4 linked regions of the Drosophila melanogaster genome follow. The protein of the gene in region 3 interacts with the protein of the main gene of each other region in a pairwise test. Each region holds a gene or a part of one and is shown on either strand. Other genes may lie near its edges. The genes, in order: CG2082, PAN2, Lcp65Ag3 and CG5618.

Region 1 (4,838 bases), on a different chromosome or scaffold from region 3:
TTATGTGCATGCAGCGCTGTTCCTTCGCCCGCCTTTTGCTTAATTCCTTTGTCTGACTGGCGGCTTTATGCGCTTTCAGTCATCATCATCATCCCCATTTGTTTAATTAAAGCACGTGTCGAAATTGAAACACAAAAAATTATGACACATATCTGCTTATGGCCTTGGCGGAAATGCATGCAAATTTTGAGAAGATCAGCGAATTGCTCTCGTAAAACATACATTTAATATGGTTCATTTAACTGAAATGAAACAACCTTTTGAAATTTTTAAAATATCTTCAACGGTTTTTCTTTCTGTGCTCTTGTAAATCGAAAGAATTTAAAATCGCATGGAGTATCAAGTATCCAAGCCTTCAGTTCATCCAATATTTTTGGTTTACCCCTAATTGGCTTCAACATTTTGCGCTTTTCTCATCCAACTTTAAATTACTTTCACTTTGGCCAGCCAGCATTTTCGAGCTGCATCATCGGTAGTTGCGAAGGGGATGGCCTTCGATGTCAGCACATAATAGTAATCCATTCCATCATATCACCGTACCGGCCGCACCGCACCTCTGCACCTATGCTCTGTGACCCTTTTTCCATATCCATATCAGAAATTTCGACCCGGCGGCCACGCCCCCACCCACAGGCACAGCCCCTCGTGGCATAACCGCAGCCGGCTTGACCTAGGACACGCATATTTCTAATGCGCATTTCGCCAGAGAAGTGGGCGGAATTGGGGTGCCCGGGTCGTCCGGGGAGACGGATTTGCGCATTTCCCGCGCGCTGACAAATTAGCACATCAAAACAAAAAGGCCAAAAAGGCTTAGAGCAACAAGAGAAGAAGGGCTGCAAAGGCGAGAGCCCGCCGACAATAAAGAGTCTGCTCAACAATGCCACCGAAAACAAAGTAAGACAAAAAGGATTTTTACATAAACCCACGCAAGACACCCACACAAACGCAGGCCAGCAGAAACACACACACACACTCTTACAGCGACGAACGTGAGTGGGCGCCAAACTAAGCGCGCCCAAAAGTAGGCAACGGAATTTTCTCGGCAGAAGCTGTAGGTGCGCGTGTGTGCGTGCATGTTGCAGTGCGAGCGTTGCCAGATGGAAAGAAACGTATATGTGAATGTTCCCTTGAATTTTAAACTGCAATTACGTTCTTTAGAGGTAATTGAAATATTTGGGATTGCTTGACGTAAACAAATGAGAATGAGAAATATTTATATTTTCTGGTTGGTATCTAGAATCACTCTTTGCCAAAGCTAAAAATACTATAAAATTACACCACAAACAAATAAATAGTTCATAAGCTGTATTTAGCTAGGTTTTATAGGTAGCATATTTGTCTAGATGCATATTTTAAGTAATCGTAATGCATTGAAGATTCCAGAAACTACTATTGACGCATACAAAGTCAAAGGACCAGAAACACAATATCTAAATGTGATATAAATGTGATATAAATTTAATACTTTTCAACACAAAACTCAGTTGGGAGTCGAATTTCGTAATGCGTAGTTGGTGGGCAACCATCTGGCCACGCTCTGTGCAACACCTTCCCAACAAACTGCCCTACGGCAACATTTCAACACTTGGCCCACCCCCAACCGCCTCTTTTTCCCCGGCAGCATCACTGCGAGAGCGAGAGAGACAACGGTAGAGGGGGAGCGAGTGGGCAGAAGGCGATTTCACTTGGCCATTTCACTCATCATCAGTTTGTTTTGCTCCCCGTTTCGCTCAGCTTCGTTTCGCCTCGGAAAAGATCGGCTTTTCACGCCGGCGATGGCGATGGCGTAGCATTTTCCCATGATAAGCCAGTTTTCCCAGTCGTCGCCAGGCGTTCGAAGATTGCGCATTCGTTCAGAAACGCGGTTCCGCCCGATTCGCATCCGATTTCGGTTTCCATCCTCGAGTGCTGCTGTGCGCCTGATAGAGCCCCGTTCGAGCCACGCTTGTGTGTCCCGCAGTTCCTTTGAGCAACCCAGTGAAGTGAAGCTACCGTCGCCCGAATCCCACACCATGTCGAAGCCGGGAACCCCCAAGCACGGCGCCGGCTCATCCTCAGCAGCTGCTGCCCCCGAGAAGATTAGCGTGAGTTCCGACATAGCAGTTTACCGCCAGGAGGACAGCTTTTCGAAAAGTGCATCCTGGCTGATTTGGGATGCAGAGCATCAGAACACCATAATATCATGTTCCACATCACTCCCGTCCGTCAAGTGCGTTAATGCGCTTTTCTAGAATTCTCTCTGTGCGTATACGTAATATTCGTAACACGCCGAGCTGCAAGTGCGAGCGACTACTTCTGTTAACATCTCAAGTGTCTGAGTGGTATAATCTTTCAAAAAAGTCGGGATAAATATTTGCACGGAAATTAGTGATGAAATTGCAGACGAGTGAATTAGTTTGCTATAAGACCAAGTTGTTCTGAATAATATTTAAAAACCTACCTAAATTAAGAAATTATGAAATATTTCTGAGCACTTGTACCACGAAAAAGCTATTAGTTTTTCTTCCACATGAAAAGGGCTAAATAGCACGTAAATGGAAAATTATACTATCAAAAAAACGTAAGGTGTTGAAAATGTAATCAACTAATTTCGTGACAGTTCGAGGGCTTTGTGGAATTAGTCTACCTAAAATTCATCCCCTTTACTTCCTTCAATTAAAAAAGGTGAGCGCGAAATGCTAAGCCAGACTAAGCCACCGCGATCGAATAGAGAAAACAGAATACAGAATATATTGTAGAAACATATGCTGGTGACCTCGAATTCCCCTTTTGGCACGGGGTTACCTTTTGTAGTTGGGTGCTGTTTGCTTTTTATTTTTTTGGCCCTCGGTGCCCAGTGAACTGGGCTCAAAGGGCATAGCATACTTTCTGTCTTGCGCCTCATAAAAATTGCATAATTGTCGTTCTGCATGTCGTTGTTTGTGCGACTCTTTGTGTGGTCCTGTTGATGTGGCTATTGGAATGGGGGCGACTCAACCATTAGCCTGGAACTGCATGTTTCTTTTTACGTGCCATTTGCGGTCGCATCTGGCACACAGCAACTGCGTAGAGTGGGCCAAAACGAATCTAGGTGCTCAAATGGGCAAAATTATGGTGTTCGTTCGGTCTTATTGGCCTGCTATTTCCCTCTTTTATTAGGCAGCTAATTATATGGCGACAAAGTGGTGCGGACTCTAAACGGAAATAAAGGAACATATCCAAGTTGAAAGTTAAAGTGAATGCACCCACTTCATTGAAATATGGTTAATTTATTGTTGAAATGCTACATGTTATTTGATAATTTGCGGAGAAAACTAATAACTGGAATATAAAAATTAAATCTTTATAAATATTTGCTATGTAGCATTTTTTCACTTATTCGCTTTTGGCCCTCGTGGCTGGCTCATAATTTCCCCATTTTCCTTTTCGACTGAGCTCATTAAATCCTGACCACAATGTGAGCTGCGCCACTTCCACCCCGACCACATGGTGCACACCCTCTTGTCCTGCATTGCAATCTCAATCCAAATATGCTGACTAAAGGGCTTTGCTGGAGTAAATCTCTGCGATATATGGCTGTATTCCTGTCCGACTCGCTTTGTTTCCCAGTTTTCCGCAGGGCTCGCTCATCCCCTCAAGCGGAATCTGAATGCGATGGAATTTAACTAGGGAAAAGCATAATGGGGAGTCGGCTGTCCATATAGGGGTATGCATTATACATGATACTGCAGACCGGGCCAGACCTATACCACTATTCCCACGACTTTTTCCATTTTCCTTCGACATTCTGCCCGCGGGTCTTCCATTGGCCGCCTTGAAGAAACTTCCCATAATTTGTGCTGGCCCACACTCACACTTCAGGATATAAGTCCTTTTCGGTCAAGTTTGCGTTCTTTGTTCCGCCCAGCCAAGTTTCTTCATCCTCCGAGTTTGTTTTCGCCGGAGCATCTGGCGTGTCCCCTGTCCACAAGACGAAAACTTGTTGACTTCGAAGGCATCGAAAAACACGCGTTTCTCCTTTTATTTCAATTTTTTTTTCATATTTTTTCCTCTATGCATTGTTAAGTGAGTGGGAAACGGTGGCGTAAGAACTTTGCCACCGGCAAAGTGTCAAAGTTTGCAAGGCAAGGTTGCTCATACGCCCCGTTGCCCCCTGCGGCTGCGGGCGCAAACTTAAAGAACATTTAATTGGTGGCTTTAAGCACCGGCCTACATGCCCGCGTGATTTGTTTGTGTCTATTAAAAATTCCCTGGCAATGCGGTCGCTTCGCCAGAAAAGTGTGCTGGAATTTTGTTTGCACAACTTTTCGCATCACTTGGGGGCTTTTGCCTTTATGCAACCGACCCCCACCCCTCCCCCTGCAAGGTTTTCCATAAATTCAAACACTTTTACCCAGATTTTCACCGCCCTCATAACGGCATCCGCAGGCTGTTGGAAAAGTGTCGGGGCATAAAAATCCCATCAAGTATACGTCAAAGTGCGGCCAACTTGTGCTCCTCTTAGATAATGCCTGGCAAAAAGGTCCTGCACGAGAAGTCAAAACGATTCCAATTCCAAAATGCTGACTGTGACTTTTCGCTCTGGATTTAATTGCATTTCAACTAGATAGGCAAATTCTACTTGGTCTAGAAGAGCCATTAAATGGTTCACATCTACATATGGCAACTGAATGTTTTAGTCTCCGAAAATCCACCTGCCACCAATCTTTGAATCGGACTACTAGGGCAGAATAAATATGTAACTATGTCCCAATTATAATGCACTGCACAATGGCACAGTCCACCGATGATTACTATGGATACAGACTCGAATTTGTGTACATTAGCAGGATTTGCTGTGCCAAATCAGCTGGGAAATT
Region 2 (7,034 bases), on a different chromosome or scaffold from region 3:
CGCCATCGTTCTGCCCCCGAATGTAGACTTGATTGCCGGGTGTTCCGAAAACGTGAGGCCCATCATGTCCGTCGTATGTCCGCTGGAGATCGGCAGCTGAGGGAGCAATGGAATCGTCGATTAGTCTCCGTTTGGGCGAGACCATGGTAAAGGGATTTTTCACCAACGCACAAAACAGCGCAAGCGATCGGCACGAGAAGTCCAAGCAAATGCATTGTCATCTATGTTCCCTGAGTGAATGGTGAGCTCTAACAACTAACTGGCTTGACTTGCTCGTCGTGGTATTTATAAGTAGGTGCGCAGTAGTCCAACATCAGGTTATTCATCAAATTGGCGACAGCATCTCAAAAATTCACAAACGCCGCTGGTGATAGGGGAGGGCGAATGAGAATTTCAAAGGAATTGAATCGATTGACGTGCACGATCCCTGAACACATCTGTTGCCCGCTTTTGCCTATTAGCCCGATTGTGGATTTGATAAGCAACTTAGATTCGCATCAACGATCAATAAAGCATCACTGATAAGAAATACAACTTTTATGCTTTGTTTTGATTTTGTTATAAAGATAGACAAATACAACATGAAATACCAGGAGCTTCGTAGCAAATAGCAACGCATTAAAACATAATAAAATTGGGAGAAGCCGGGATTTTTTCAGATCGGTGTAGCGTTTGTACTGACGATAACGTTGATTATGAGTTTCGTCGAATTGGCATCGGGTTTGGCGACGAATCAGTCCTCTGGAACCTTCCACTGCAGCTGCTTTCCGCGTTCGTAAAGATTCTTGAGAGCGTTGGCAAACTTCTTCTCCTCCTGCAGCTTCAAATAGTGCTTGTAGAGCTGCAGAGTGGTCCGTGCATCTTCGATGGAGTCGTGCGTCTCGGACTGAATCTTAGTACCTTTGGCATTAGGAAAACCCAATTAGATACAATTCCAAATCGAAGAAAACCCCTATACAAACCCAAGAAATGCCAGGCTAGAAATCTTAGGGAAACCATGCGATGATGTGGCATGTGAAACAGGTGCACCGTATCTATTATCTGCTCCGACGGTACATAGATGTTTATGACCCTGCAATCACATGGAAGTTTAGTGGTCTATTGGTTCCTTACAAAGCAGGGCATCCCACCTAAAGTCGTTCTTCAGACCATGTCCGACAAATATTACTCCTACGTCAACGAGGTATTTTAATTTCTGGTATGAGTACTTCAAGGCAGTCAGTCGCTTTTTGCTGAAGTTAGCGTCCAAGTCGCCAGGCTTGATTCCCGAGAACTGAGTTAGGTAGTCCACGACCTTCTCCTGGGTGGATATGTAATCGTCCATGAATGGAACTCCTTCAGCCGGGCCTTGTCTGTAAAGAATTCATACCCGTGCTTATCGAGATGAATATTTTTAAGTTTCAGTTAATGAATTACCCTCGTATACATGAAATCCGGGCCACACTCATGTGGCATGGCTTAATGGTCGCCGTTTTGCCATCCGGGCGAATCTCATTTTCCTCTGGATTTAGGGTAACGAACTCGGCATCCATTGCGACCAGATCACCCGACTGCGGCATTTCATCTGACTGCAGGGGCTGCAGCGTGGCGTCTGCACTTAAGTTGCCTAGCATAGGACTCACAATTTCCTGGTAGGATTAAGATTCAGATTAGCATTCAGCAGACTCAATGCTATATTAAACTATTAACCTCTAGAAAAGGGTTGGATAGATTTGTTGGCGAGCCGCTGCTGCTCTCTGATGGAATGGTTTCTTCACTTTCCGTGACGGTCGAGCTAGTAGTACTAGCAGACTCAGAGTCATCCTCTACGTGTCTGTAGAAGAGTATGCAAGGAACTTTCCAATCCAATGTGAACCATACCGATTCTTGTGGCGAAACGGGCGATATGCTGTTGAGCGATATATGAGCAATATTAATCGAAGGCCATTCACAATAGAGATCTAACTTACCTAAAATCATTAAAAATATACCATTGACTCTGAGGGTCATCTGCAGATTCAGCCAGTTTCATGGTGTGGTATGGCCGCTGCACATTTATCAACGATACCAAGTTCTTTTGGGTACCATCATCGACTTGGCACACCACGGCATGCAGCGCGTACATCCGATTGTTGTCCAAGCCCTTTGTTGGTGGCTTTTCCGTTTCCTCCTCCTGTTCCGATTTGCCACTGCTTGCATCTGATTGAGTTTGCACCTGCACCTCACCTTGGTCATTGATGCCCATAGTAAATGTAAGGGGAAACCAGGACTTTTGGCGTCCATTGGGAGAATTGTTGACAGCATTCGGTTGGCTTGTGTGCGATGGAGATTTTCTGCACAGTAGGTACAACAATATGCATAAGACGACTGATTCAGTTTCGATTCGTCGTAACTCACCGATCCGGATGCATGAAATGGCAGTCACTTCGCGAACAGTTGGCTCCATATCGACACGGCTTGCTTGTGCTCAAGGAAGCGGCCGCATCAACAGTCGTCTTTTCGCTGCAGCGATTGAGCTGGCGCTTCAGGAAGGTAATGTCTTTTTCGTTGTTGAGGCCACAGTTAATGGACAGAATTTGCGGAAGCGAAGTCACCTGAAATTCAGATGCATTACATATGTAACTTCTTGCTTGGTTCACTATAAAGTTAGCTCCCGACCTTCACGCTCTGATTGGTTGGCGAAAACTTCTTACATCTCTCGCAGAAGGCCTGAATACTCTTCTCGGAGCTGAGAGATCGCTTCAAAATGGTGCCAAAGTTGAAATACTGATCACTATCTTTGATGTGGTTGGGATACGACAAATTGCAGGCAAGTAGAATGCTTTCCTTTATCTTCTCTTCTTGGCATTTGATGCAGCGGTTTATACAGATTTGCTTGGTCCCAAAGATCTTACTGATGTCAGTTTCTGCGTTGATCTTACTGCGTTCCCGATCGTCCTCCTTGGAGTTCTCATCTGTTCATATACGTACATATGATTAGAGTGTTAGTTAAACCATTAATTCACCTGCCCACCACTTATGGAATCGTAAAGGTCCGAGGAGCCACTTGTTTCTGAAGAGCCCGCGTTTTCCGCTGCAAAATAAATCGAAGTTTCACTTATTTGTAAAGGATAAACTCGGCTGTGGTTACCGTTCGTTGATGTTTGCACAGATCCGCTGTAGGTGGATGCGTTCTTGCTAGAATCGAATATTTCGTAATGCATTTGATGCAAAATGAATCGGTTCCAGTTCTGAGAGTGTGCATAAATTAAATATCTGCTTAGGAAACCATGGTATTACTTGCCTGTATCAGCGATATTAGATTGACGTTCGATGAGCGGTCGGTGAGAATCAATCCCAGTGCCGAGGCCTCTGGCACAGTGCGGAAAGATCGCAGGAAATTGCTGGCCTGGCAAGGTGAAGAAGCTGAAAGGAGCACACATAAATACTTAAACTAAGGATAGTTAAGTTACACAAGCAAACTAACCGGTACTTTTATCCAGCATGTTGAAGAGGAACCCTAGTTCGCAGGACAGGCAAAACTCCTTGATGCACGAATGCTCCAGCAGCTTCACGCGAAGCGCGTCGGTGAAATACAAAATCTGTAGCATAGCATTGCAGTAGGAGTTCGGTAGCGTTGCCTCCAGCCCCGCGAAACATGTTTGATTATGCTGGTCAAAGTCAAAGTCCTGGGTGCCCAGCTTCGTGTACTTCAGCTCGACTTTGCGATACCGCCGTGGAATGATTTTCACACCGTTCTCCGCCTTGGTCGCCGCCGCAGTTCCATTTCCGTTCGGACTGCACACGCCGCCCTGCTCAATCACGTACGGAATTTGATTACGACGGGCGGTGCGTGGGTTTGGCGAGTATCCAATCGGTCCCTGCATTTTCATGTTGCTCAGCACTTCGGGATCAATGGTCTTGGGCCTGTGGTAGCGGTAGCGCAGCAGTTCCTCCGGCCAATCTGAGAACCATTGTGTGCCCGTCGTCAAGTGCGGTAGCATGACCGACGATAGCGGAAAGTTGGTGTCCGTAATGGAGACCATCGGCAGCTGTGGCACCACGTCCGCAAACTCTGTGCTTCGCGAGTAGAGATTGAACTGCGGCTGAGGCGTTTGTACAGCGGCAATCATGTTGATGTGGCCCGACTGGTCCCCAAATGCCATGGCCTGTGAAGAGGAGCTAATGTCGAAGCTGAGGCACTGGCTGCCGTTGGTGTTGATCTGGTACATGGATACTCGCGGCTCGCTGAGCTCCACAGTGTCCACCAGCTGAACCTGGCCGTAGCTGGACACGACGGCCAGTTGGGATGTCAGCGATGGCAGGAACTTCAACATCTGCGGATCAATCATCACTTGAATGGGCGCGATCAGGCGCAGCATGCGCAGATCGTAGACCATTAGGAAGCGGTCGATGGCCAGGTTATTTTGCCTTCCGCTGTAGCCGCAAGAGATTAGCAGATTTCCCTGGACACTGAAGTCCGAAAGGATGTTGGTGTGCGTCTTGATTGTGTGCTGAACACTCAGGCTGTTCAGGTCGCGCAACGTTACCGTTCCCAGCTGGTCGCCGGCAAACAGATAACGTGAATTCTTGCGTAGCACCGTGCATCCGCCGGCACCCACATGCTCTATGCGGGTTTCCTTGAGCGTGCGCAGGTCGAAGTCGATAAGCTCGTCCTGCAGTCCGGCCATGACCAGACGATGCGGTGATAGCTGCAGCATGCTCACCATCTCCTTCATGTTGTTCGATCTGCAAGAAATTGAAACCTCACTTTCGGGGAATCTTTGTGCCAGCGCGGTGGCTTACTTGAAGGTAAACTTGGGCAGACCCCTGCGGATCTGATGACGCAGCGAGGTCTGCGTGAGCGCCAGCACTCCGGAGTCCAGGGTGGAGATGTCGCGCACAATGTCGGTGGCGTGGACCTGAAAGGATGTGTACTTCTGCATGGAGTTTGTGTAGTACGATGTGACGTGGCCCTGCGGGAAGGAGCGAAGATTCAGGATTAGTAAGCCTGGCAGGCTGGACGAGGAACTCACGCCCTGGTTGCCCATCCACAGCAGCTCTTCGTAGTCGTCGAACGCCACGCTGGAAACGCCGAAGTGCTCCCCGCCGTCGGCAAGCACGGGCACAAGCTCCACATATTCCGGATCGGTGGTGCCGATGTTGAATCCATTGAAGCTGGGCGAAAAGTGCCCGTTTCCCGGCGCAGATCCCGCGTCATAAACACCTTTTCAAAAAGTAAACAGAAAACAAAGGAGAAAGCTTTAGCTGGCTTGCGTGTGTGTGTGCGTGTGGGTGAGCGTTGGCCCCAAAGCGACCCCTTGACCCACTTAGTATGTCTTCGGAGGCCCCGATGGGGTCGGTGCCGCAATACACGTAATCCATCTGCCGCACGCCGATGCCCACGCGACTTTTTATTGTTTATTTTTTAACAAATTTCGCTCAAAACTGCCAGCCGTTTTTGCGTTGCACCGATTAGAGTGACCCTGGCAGGGCTGATGTAAAAATACTCTCGCTTCTCCGCCAACGAACTACCTGTCCAACGCTGCGCGACGCCACTGTGCGTGGCAAGAAGAAGCACTGCAATGCTGCGTAGAGCTGCCACGACTGTGGGATCCGCATGTAAAAATTACGGCCAGAATTGCTCAAAATTCGCGAGAAACAAAAGAACAATGGCCGATCTGCAGCAGATTGCAAGCAACAACGAGCGCGCCGAGGCGCTGATCAACTCCATTGAAGCCGAGGCAAGTATTTCCGCCTGCCAGCGCCTGCGAACACTCGATAACCTACTGCCCCCCAGATTTCCGGCATCCAGCAGCAACTTGTGGAGCGCCAGAAGCAGGAGCTGATCAAGGAGAACGCTGCACTGGCCAAGGAAGTTGAGGCGGCTTTGGCCCAGCTGGTGCAGCTGGAGCTGCGAAATGGCAAGAAACAGATTCCGGTGCCTGGAGCCCGGGGTTTCTGCACCAGTGCGGCCCCAGTAGTTATGCCGGCAGAGGCTGGACCTGCTACCGCTGCACCCGCTGCCCCGGCTCCTAAGCCGGCCAAGGAGCCCAAGGAAAAGAAGTCCAAGGAGAAGAAACCGGCCGCCGAGAAGCCCGCCGCCGCTCCGGAGGCTCCCGTCGACGTCGGTCGCCTGGATTTACGCGTGGGCAAGATTGTGGAGGTGGGTCGCCATCCCGACGCCGACAGCTTGTATCTGGAGAAGATCGACTGCGGCGAGGCGGCTCCACGCACCGTGGTGTCCGGTCTGGTGAAGTTCGTGCCCCTGGAAGAGATGCAGAACCGTCTGGTAGTGGTCATGTGTAACCTGAAGCCGGCCAAAATGCGCGGCGTCACCTCGGAGGCTATGGTCATGTGCGCATCTACACCGGAAAAAGTGGAAGTGCTCAGTCCGCCCGCCGGAGCTGTTCCCGGCGACCTGGTTCACTGCGAGGGCTATCCGCGCCAGCCAGACGCCCAGCTCAACCCCAAGAAGAAGATCTTTGAGTCGTGCGCCCCGGATCTGAAGACCAACGGCGAACTGGTTGCCTGCTACAAGGGCGCCGCTCTCCATGTTCCTGGCAAGGGCAACGTGGTGGCCCAAACCCTGAAGAACGTCAATGTGAAGTGAGCCAATAAACGAAACTAAAGCTTTGAGCCAATAAACGAAACATCACCGCCTGCACACCATTTCAGTATCAGAACTTCATTATCATTCAGTTTCTAGTACCAGTGAAGAGTAGCTCTACAGGAATATCGGAAGCTCTACTGATCATTGGGATTACTGGTTATGTTTGATTATCGTGCAGATTCTGAGGTATTCATGTGATATTTTATTTTATTTCACACGACAGCAGTACATAACGACATTAAATTTATCATTAACAAGTCTATTTATATGTGCATAGGAAGTGCATAGGAGTGCGCCATTCCTACACACTTTGGCTGGTTTAAGTGCCGTCCTCAGCGATTATTGCGCTGCGCTTGCCCTTGGGTGCGGAACACGGCAATGGAATTGCTCTCCACCACAATCGTTTTGGTTAGGACGTCGTAGGCGGTGCGATTGTTCTTGAAGAAGACCATCAACACGCAAA
Region 3 (3,039 bases):
CTTTTATGATTAAACTATGCACTTTAAATCCGCAAAGCCGACTATGCATTTGGGAGAACTTTTTGTTTTTATTTTATTAAGGCATACTGGAAATTTTCGTTTGATTTTGTTAAGATAAGTTAAAAATAGGAAAAATATATTCTTTTTTAATATTATTATAAGGGCCCAAAAACTTTTTCTTTTTTAATAATGTTCATGTAATAAGAACACCTAATAAAGCCTGAAGACGACTGGGTATGTTAGCGGTTAGAGTAATAAAATACATAATAAAAAATTGTATTTTCAGTTCTAAAATGTTTTTTTTTTTAATTAATAATTTTCTAAATGAAAAAAATACCTATTCTTTCAAAATACTTATTTACACTTCTTAAGAATTGCTTAATGGAAAAAAACCTTTAATTAGGTCCGTTGTTTGCCATAAGAATCTAGTTCTATTTATCTGAACAACTTAACAAAATATTTTCAAATAATCGCCTTTAAAAAAAAACGACGTTTCCGACCTTTTGAGCGAAAAGCACATTTAAAATAAAACGAATTCATATAAAATCTACATTTTTTAATATTCAACAAACTGCGTTCTGTAACTTAGGATTCTTTCCCTTTTAAAAGGGAAAACCGAAAGTAGGTAAGTGTTGGGGAAGATAACAAAGAGTGTTGCAGAATTGGTGGGTTTAAAGCTGCTTACAGTGAAAGCAACTTCACTTATGCCACGGGGGCAACGGGCAGATGAGCACCCTCGGGCTGGAATCCGTTCTTATCGGCGATGTAGTTGACTTGGTAGGTCTGGCCATCATCAGCAATGAAGCGGTAGGATCCACTCACAGAGATAGCCTCGTTCTCAGTTCCAATGTCGTTCAGCTGACCTACAGCTTGAGCAGCCTGTCCATCGGAGGTTTCCCAGCTAAGAAGGAAGTCAGTGTCAGCTAGGTATCCTTTTGGGTCATTTCTCATAGGCAACTTACTCGTATTTGAAGCTTTCGGGTCCAACGTCGGATTCAGAGCGCACGATTGTGGGTTCCTCAGCGGCAGGAGCAGCCAGAGCCACGGCGAAGAGGGCGACGAAGACAATCAGGAATTTCATGGTGATTGTTGTTTGGTGCTTAGATCTGCGGCTATCGAACAGTTCAAGTCGAATGGTAACTATGGACGGCCGCGTAAACCCTTTTATAGATGGCACCCTCTTGGCGATTATTCAAAGCGCGGCCGAACTAGTCAAACGTGTACAAGACATAATGAGCAAAATCAATGTTAATGTGAAATGTCTGGTTTGGATTTCATTTTCGTTTGAAGTAGGAGCATTAAAAGGCCTAATATAAAATTTTAATAACACTATAGTCCAAAAAGAATCGCGTTCATAAATATTTCATTATTCAAATTTTTAACAATTCATTGAGCTTTATTATATTTATAATAATCCAGCCAGTCTTAGTGACGTCAATAAAACTCGGGAGCTTCCTCAAATATATACATTTTTTCTATTTACTTTTCTAATTCTACGAATCTTTTACATTGGATAAATAAAGTCAACTTATTTATTCGCATCCGGAATCATTATACATCCAGGTATCTCCTAGGCTACTAGCCTGAACTTGGGATGGTAGCCAGTTTCGTCGGCCGTGAAACTAATCTCGTATTTTTTGCCATCTGGAGCTGACCAGCTGGTCGATCCCTGGACAGACAAGGAACCATCCTCTTCGCCGGCTCCAGGTTTCACCTCACCGGTCTCAGTGCGTGAGATTCCGTTGCTCGTCTCATAGCTGGAATTCGATGTTAATTGTTTTTAATAAATTAATTATTGATTGAAATTGTATATAGGAACATCGAATAATTAAACACCTGTTACAACTAAGCATTTCAAAGCTACCCTCTTTAATTTTGCCCTTGCAGAGGCTTATACCTCTGATATCAGTCAGAAGTTTGCAACGCAGTGAGGGAGACATGTGCAACTAAATAAAGTTTATATATGTGTACATATTTATATACATCAGTTTCAATAGTCAAGCCGTTTCTACGCAAAATAGTAATAGTATCTCAGTTTAAGGTTAAAAAATTTTACAATTAAATGCATTATGTCCAAATCATTTCTGGGCAATACCTACGCAAAGGAATATTTATCGCCCGTGTTTTCGCTCTCCAGTTTGATGGTCTCCGCCTGGGCATCCTCACCAGCGGGAAAGGCCAAACAGATACCAATTGCCAGGAAGGCTACCAGCCACATGAAATTCGATTGCATTGCGGAAAGAATTAGTTTTTCAGAGTCTCCGTCACAGCTAGCTGCACTTTACTGAGCTGCGATGCGATCATCTGATGCCCTTTTATACGAAATCTCTGGATTATGTCCTCATCGGCGAAAAATGCAAAATAATAAAACAAATTAAAAATAAAGAAATCAGCTATAATGCAAACATTCAATAAAACACATTTTAATTACAGATTAACACTCTAAGTACCCTGCACTAATCGTGCATGCAGGTATATCCAACAGATGGTAATGTATGCAATTACCTTGTCGACAGTCAATTGATAGACAGAATGACGCCTTACCTTGCCATCACCTTTGAATTCTCAAATCTTATTGGTTAATTAAGCTAATCGTGAACATGTTTGTTTGAAACAAACAGATAGAACGGTGAAAATTTGTATAAAAAACAGTACACGATCACCATTTGCTATATACATATAAACTCAGGTTTAAACGATGTCTTCTAGTCGAGATGCATAAAGTTCTGTATTCGAACTTTTTATTATTGTGCATTGTGATTTTGCCATTGTCATTTCTCATATTATCATCTAATGTTTGAATAAGTAAAGCCTCAGCAAATGCTTTGTGTACACTACTATTGGTATATACATTAATTATTAATAGAAAATATCAATCAGCAATCCAACAAGCATGGAATATTCTACATATCAGAGTATTCTATATCAAATATCAGAGTATTTTACAAACATTTAATCGTGCAGCGGTCACGTATACACGCTGTGACCAGTTTCTATTCTTCGAATATCTATAATCAGTCGGTTCTTTTTCGACTACGA
Region 4 (4,999 bases), about 14 Mb from region 3:
AATAGGGTCCCTCTCATCAGTCGGATGGTGCATTCCCTTGTCGATCAGATCAGCGTGCATCTAGATATGTACCTATACGTTTTACCAAATTTTTTAATTAGTCGTGCACCAGGCGGAATCGCGTACTTTTAAGCAGCATATTAAATTCGTATTTCGTACTCGTAATTCGTAATTTGTATTTCAATGGTCATGTAAAAGCGATGCGATAGATATTAGCGCATTCTCCGTTCATCTGGTTCGATTTCGACTGCGGTATTAGGAGCAAAAGATCTTCGGTTAACTGCCACATGCCACTTTCGAACGTATCTGCATTTCCCCTATTCAAATTATAGCCGAGTGTTATAAGAAAGTATACAAATCTAATCCATAAAATTGTAATAAAAATTAAACCAGAATAAAAACACCACACAATGAGGATGGGGTATCCGTTTATATTCAGTCGCGAAGTACAACAAATATTTTATTTAGTGTATGAAAAGTTAAATGTGGATACAAAGGAGGTGAGAATCTGAGTTTCGGTTGAACTATCCTGTGTGTTGATCCTTTTGTTTTTTCCTCTTCATTTATTTTTCAATTTTCAATCAGCTTCTGTTCTTCTATTTTTTTTTTTTTTTTGTTTCTTATTTTAATTTAATTCAATTGCTGGGTGTGCCTCTGCAGGTATCTTACGCTACAAGGTGGATTTCCAGAGTATGCAGCTCGATGAATTGGACAATGATGGCTTCGATCTAGATGATTACTAGGAAATGTATCTGTAGAAATGAATTTGCCACTACGTTCGACCGCAAACTGAACTGCAACTACAACTATATGAATCCAGGAAATCAAATAGAATATTTAAATAATATGAGAAAACACAAACCTTCTTCCATTTTTACGTTGTTGGCGAAAAAAGTAAAATTTTAAATAATGCATATAGATACAAACGATAAAATGTTAAATCGAGGAAAACATATTAAAATGCAACCGTTTTACGTGAACAAATTTGCAATTTGAATATATTTTCGAGGGACTAGAGCTCTTGTTATATAATTAATTGTTCCTCTATAAATCTAAATCTAAATCTACATTGACAATACGCCACGTTTCCTAAAGTTTTTGGGTACAAGGAGAATTGTATCTGTGAGTTTTAATCGTTCTATTATAGCTTGAAAACGAAATTTGCACCGAAAGCTGATAAAATTCCGACTCTGCTATCTGCTGGATAAGTAAAATGCTGGTAGCCACTTGGAGTACTACCAGTACAGCAATGAAAGTAAAGTGAAATGGGCATTTCATTTTCTACTTTCTATTTGCAGGCACACTGGAAACAGTTTACTGCGAGATTCCCACTTCATTAGTTGGCAATGCACGTGGACGACAGCAAAAAGCACTCGTAGTACTTGTTTCGCCCTTGATTTGCATCTAAGAATCGCTCAGATACATCTGGTGAGCTGAAACTCGTTTCTGAGCCGCAGTGTCGTGCAGGTATCCGTACTCGTTTGAATATTTGTAAGTAATCATTGCAGCGAGACTTCCAAAAAGTAAGCTCAGCTAAGTTCTGCGGTGTTGGGCATCCAATTAGTTGACCAAGTTTTCTGGTGGCATGCACATGAAACTTGTTTAATCGATAGGGTAAATATGCAAATTTCGATTGAATTTGACGATAATGCGTCGAGATGAAAAGAAAACGAATTGTGCAGGATTTTGGTTACGAGATAAGCCGAATCAGCTAATAAGGCACGTGCTTAATTGATATATATTGTATGTTTAAGTAACCTAAATATGCACGACTTTAATATCACTTTTATTTCGCTTTCGTAATAAAACGAGGTTCACTCTAAAGAGCACAAGCGTGGAGGTGTATGTGTGTTCTTACAGCCCCGATCATTTGTATTTCCATTTGAGTGCGAGCGAAGACGAGGGTTTACAACTTGATGAGAATTTGATCAAGATAACATTAAAACACAATCTGCTGCAGTCGGACGGGGCACTTCTGATTGAATCGTCGACGGAAGAGGTTCGGATCTCGAAAGCCAAAAATAATCAGCCTTTTACTGGCCAATTGAGATACGGAAACTTCTACCGACCGAGTGTAGTATGGCTGAATCAGTGGATGGAGCAGAGACTGTTGACCAGATTCGCGATGGCCTCATGGACGACTGGAAGATCCTGGAGAACGTATTCCACCTTCTCCGGAAGGAGGATACCTTCTGCGTGGATCCCCAGAAATGGGACAAGCAGAAGATAGTCCCCTTTTTGCAGCCAGACAAACTTAAGGTGAGTGGAGCAAGTGATAGACGATTCGGCGTCTGCCGATGTGGAGATAACCAGAGATAACAGAGAACTGATTAATGGAAGAGTTCATTCGAAAATTGACCACCCGACCGCAAATTGTAGCAATTGTACTATGGCTTGCCCGACGAAATGTGAGTCAATTGATAGTAGCACTTCCTGATTGAGCACACTCATGCTAGTATCTGATAGTTTTAATTATAATTGAATTGTTTGTTATTTCATAGATTATGGTCGGTTTTTTCTGGGTAAAGATATTATTAGTTCGAAACAGAAAACGTTTTAGAAATATGTTGAATCTTTAATATACTTTCTTATTGCAAAAGTCGCTGTTCTATAACAATCTTGAGATTACATGATTTCGCACCATCACTTCCAGGAACTGATTAACCTGAAGGTTCGAGAGACGGAAAACTGCTCGCTCGCGGAGATCGAGGAGCTGTGCCAGCAGGTGATCCATTACTCTGTGAAAACCTCGCACGGCCGCTTCCACAATCAGCTCTTTGGCCAGCTGGACCCGTTTGGACTGGCAGGAGCCCTGGTCACCGAGGCCATGAACGGCAGCACGTAAGTCTGCGCCTTATTCCACACATGTGTCTTGTCTATATGAGTGACCGCTGATTGCATCTCGTGTTCCAATCTACAAGTGGTGTCGGGGTTCAACGTACAGATAATTGCGCTATGTAATGGAGATTGCAAAGTACTACATGTATGTTTCATAACCCCCCCCCCCCCCTTTCGATTAATTTAAATGGGGATTAAGCAGAGTTCATACACAATCATTGCAAGTTATTAATCATTTAGATGAGATTTCCTAGATAGGACTACCAAAATCAGACTTTTAACCGAGGTATCCAACAAGACACAATAAACTTTTGTTTCAGATACACCTACGAAGTTGCGCCCGTGTTTAGCTTGATCGAAACTGAGGTGATCGCGACCATCTGCAAGTTAGCGGGATACAAGGAAGGCGATGGCATCTTTGCGCCCGGTGGCTCCACCTCCAACATGTACGGCATGGTTCTGGCCCGCTATAAGATCGCGCCCGAGGTGAAGACGTCTGGAATGTTTGGAATGCGACCGCTGGTGCTCTTTACCTCCGACGAGTCGCACTACAGCTTCGTGAAGGCGGCCAACTGGCTGGGATTGGGCAGCTACAACTGTGTGTCGGTGAGGACCAATGAGCGGGGTCAGATGCTGTTGGACGACCTGGAGGCGAAGATCGCAGAGGCAAAGGCACGTGGCGGTGAACCGTTCTTTGTCAACTGTACTGCAGGCACCACTGTGTTGGGTGCCTTTGATGATATCAATGGTGCGGCGGATGTGACGGAACGACATGGTCTGTGGCTCCATGTGGACGCCTGTCTGGGAGGCGCTGCACTACTCTCCGCCAAGAACCGATCGCTCATTGCCGGCCTCGAGCGGGCGAATTCGTTTTCCTGGAATCCGCACAAAACCATCGGCGCTCCATTGCAGTGTTCACTCTTTTTGACCAGGGAATCTGGCCGTCTGCTGGAAAGATGCAACAGCACCGAGGCGCACTATTTGTTCCAGCAGGACAAGTTCTATGATGTATCCTACGATACGGGAAACAAGAGTGTCCAGTGCGGCCGCAAGATCGACGCTTTCAAGTTCTGGCTAATGCTTAAGGCTCGCGGATATGGAAAGTATGGACTCATGGTGGACCACGCCATCCACATCGCCAGGTTGCTGGAAGGCAAGCTGCGCCAGCGTGGAGATCGCTTTAGACTGGTGATCCCGGAGCACGAGTACTCCAATGTCTGCTTTTGGTTCATTCCGAAAGCAATGAGGGTGTCCAGCGAGGAGGAGACGCCTGAATGGTGGAGTCGACTTTACACTGTAAGTGAATAACAATGGCTTTGATAGACCATTTAAGCTCACATTTTTATATGCTCCTTTAAAGGTGGCCCCGAAAATTAAGGAGCAAATGGCCCACAGCGGCACTTTGATGATTGGTTACTCGCCTCTTAAAGCTAAAAATCTGGGCAACTTCTTTCGCATGGTCTTCACTTGTTTTCCCATCCTGAAAAGCAAAGAGTTGGACTTCATTTTGGACGAAATTGAGAGATTGGGCGAGAAAATTGTGCTTTGAATTATTTTCTATGTGAATTAAGCTAATTAATGGAAATCGTTCAATTGTACATTTCATTGTAGTTATTACTTTGTGATAAAAAATACGCCTTTATTATGTAAACTCGGCTTAATCTCTATTTTGAATATTTAAATAAAAATCTTTCAAGAAATGAATATTAAGTTTTTTAAATTCATTTTCTACCGCTATCAACAAATAATATTAGCCTGGTCACACGAACATCCCCCAGCAGTAACTATCGATAAAAGTGTTCACGGGTATTGTTGTTATACCCCAGCGCGGTCATACCTTTACGTGAGATCAAAACAATAAGTTTTTGTTGAGAAATTATTTGTAAAACCACGCACATAAAAAGACGCTACGATGGGTCGCGCCGAGGTAGGTACGCCCAAGTACCTCGCCAACAAGATGAAATCGAAGGGTCTGCAGAAGCTGCGCTGGTACTGCCAGATGTGCGAGAAGCAGTGCCGCGATGAAAACGGCTTCAAGTGCCACACGATGAGCGAGTCCCACCAGCGCCAGTTGCTCCTCTTTGCGGACAATCCTGGCAAATTCCTGCACAGCTTCAGCAAAGAGTTCTCCGACGGCTACATGGAGTTGCTGCGCCGGCGG

What was found.
Region 1: the proteins of Lcp65Ag3 (region 3) and CG2082 interact in a two-hybrid assay, tested with the Drosophila melanogaster proteins (one large-scale study listed by BioGRID).
Region 2: the proteins of Lcp65Ag3 (region 3) and PAN2 interact in a two-hybrid assay, tested with the Drosophila melanogaster proteins (one large-scale study listed by BioGRID).
Region 4: the proteins of Lcp65Ag3 (region 3) and CG5618 interact in a two-hybrid assay, tested with the Drosophila melanogaster proteins (one large-scale study listed by BioGRID).

Annotation. Positions count from the first base shown.
Region 1 is NT_033777.3:5,768,876-5,773,713, reverse strand, and holds the start of CG2082 (uncharacterized protein), read left to right. Parts: upstream 1-1,815; 5' UTR 1,816-2,012; coding exon 2,013-2,084; intron 2,085-4,838.
Region 2 is NT_033778.4:8,926,609-8,933,642, reverse strand, and holds PAN2 (Poly(A)-binding protein-dependent poly(A) ribonuclease 2), read right to left. Parts: upstream 5,475-7,034; 5' UTR 5,344-5,474; coding exon 5,289-5,343; intron 5,186-5,288; coding exon 4,995-5,185; intron 4,935-4,994; coding exon 4,765-4,934; intron 4,708-4,764; coding exon 3,446-4,707; intron 3,385-3,445; coding exon 3,263-3,384; intron 3,210-3,262; coding exon 3,110-3,209; intron 3,053-3,109; coding exon 2,993-3,052; intron 2,934-2,992; coding exon 2,638-2,933; intron 2,574-2,637; coding exon 2,377-2,573; intron 2,313-2,376; coding exon 1,950-2,312; intron 1,889-1,949; coding exon 1,690-1,888; intron 1,629-1,689; coding exon 1,417-1,628; intron 1,353-1,416; coding exon 1,131-1,352; intron 1,073-1,130; coding exon 963-1,072; intron 901-962; coding exon 734-900; 3' UTR 540-733; downstream 1-539. Other genes in the region: AIMP1 (aaRS-interacting multifunctional protein 1), read left to right, coding at 5,544-5,702, 5,759-6,571; CG8237 (uncharacterized protein), read right to left, coding at 6,904-7,034. UniProt on the Drosophila melanogaster protein: Catalytic subunit of the poly(A)-nuclease (PAN) deadenylation complex, one of two cytoplasmic mRNA deadenylases involved in general and miRNA-mediated mRNA turnover.
Region 3 is NT_037436.4:6,129,849-6,132,887, forward strand, and holds Lcp65Ag3 (larval cuticle protein), read right to left. Parts: upstream 1,142-3,039; 5' UTR 1,082-1,141; coding exon 963-1,081; exon of another isoform or gene 902-962; coding exon 703-901; 3' UTR 538-702; downstream 1-537. Other genes in the region: Cpr65Au (cuticular protein 65Au), read right to left, coding at 1,571-1,757, 2,100-2,233.
Region 4 is NT_037436.4:20,352,147-20,357,145, forward strand, and holds CG5618 (uncharacterized protein), read left to right. Parts: upstream 1-1,773; 5' UTR 1,774-2,079; coding exon 2,080-2,259; intron 2,260-2,653; coding exon 2,654-2,841; exon of another isoform or gene 2,842-2,983; intron 2,984-3,158; coding exon 3,159-4,134; intron 4,135-4,198; coding exon 4,199-4,387; 3' UTR 4,388-4,486; downstream 4,487-4,999. Other genes in the region: eRF1 (eukaryotic translation release factor 1), read left to right, coding at 1,299-1,408; kin17, read left to right, coding at 4,751-4,999.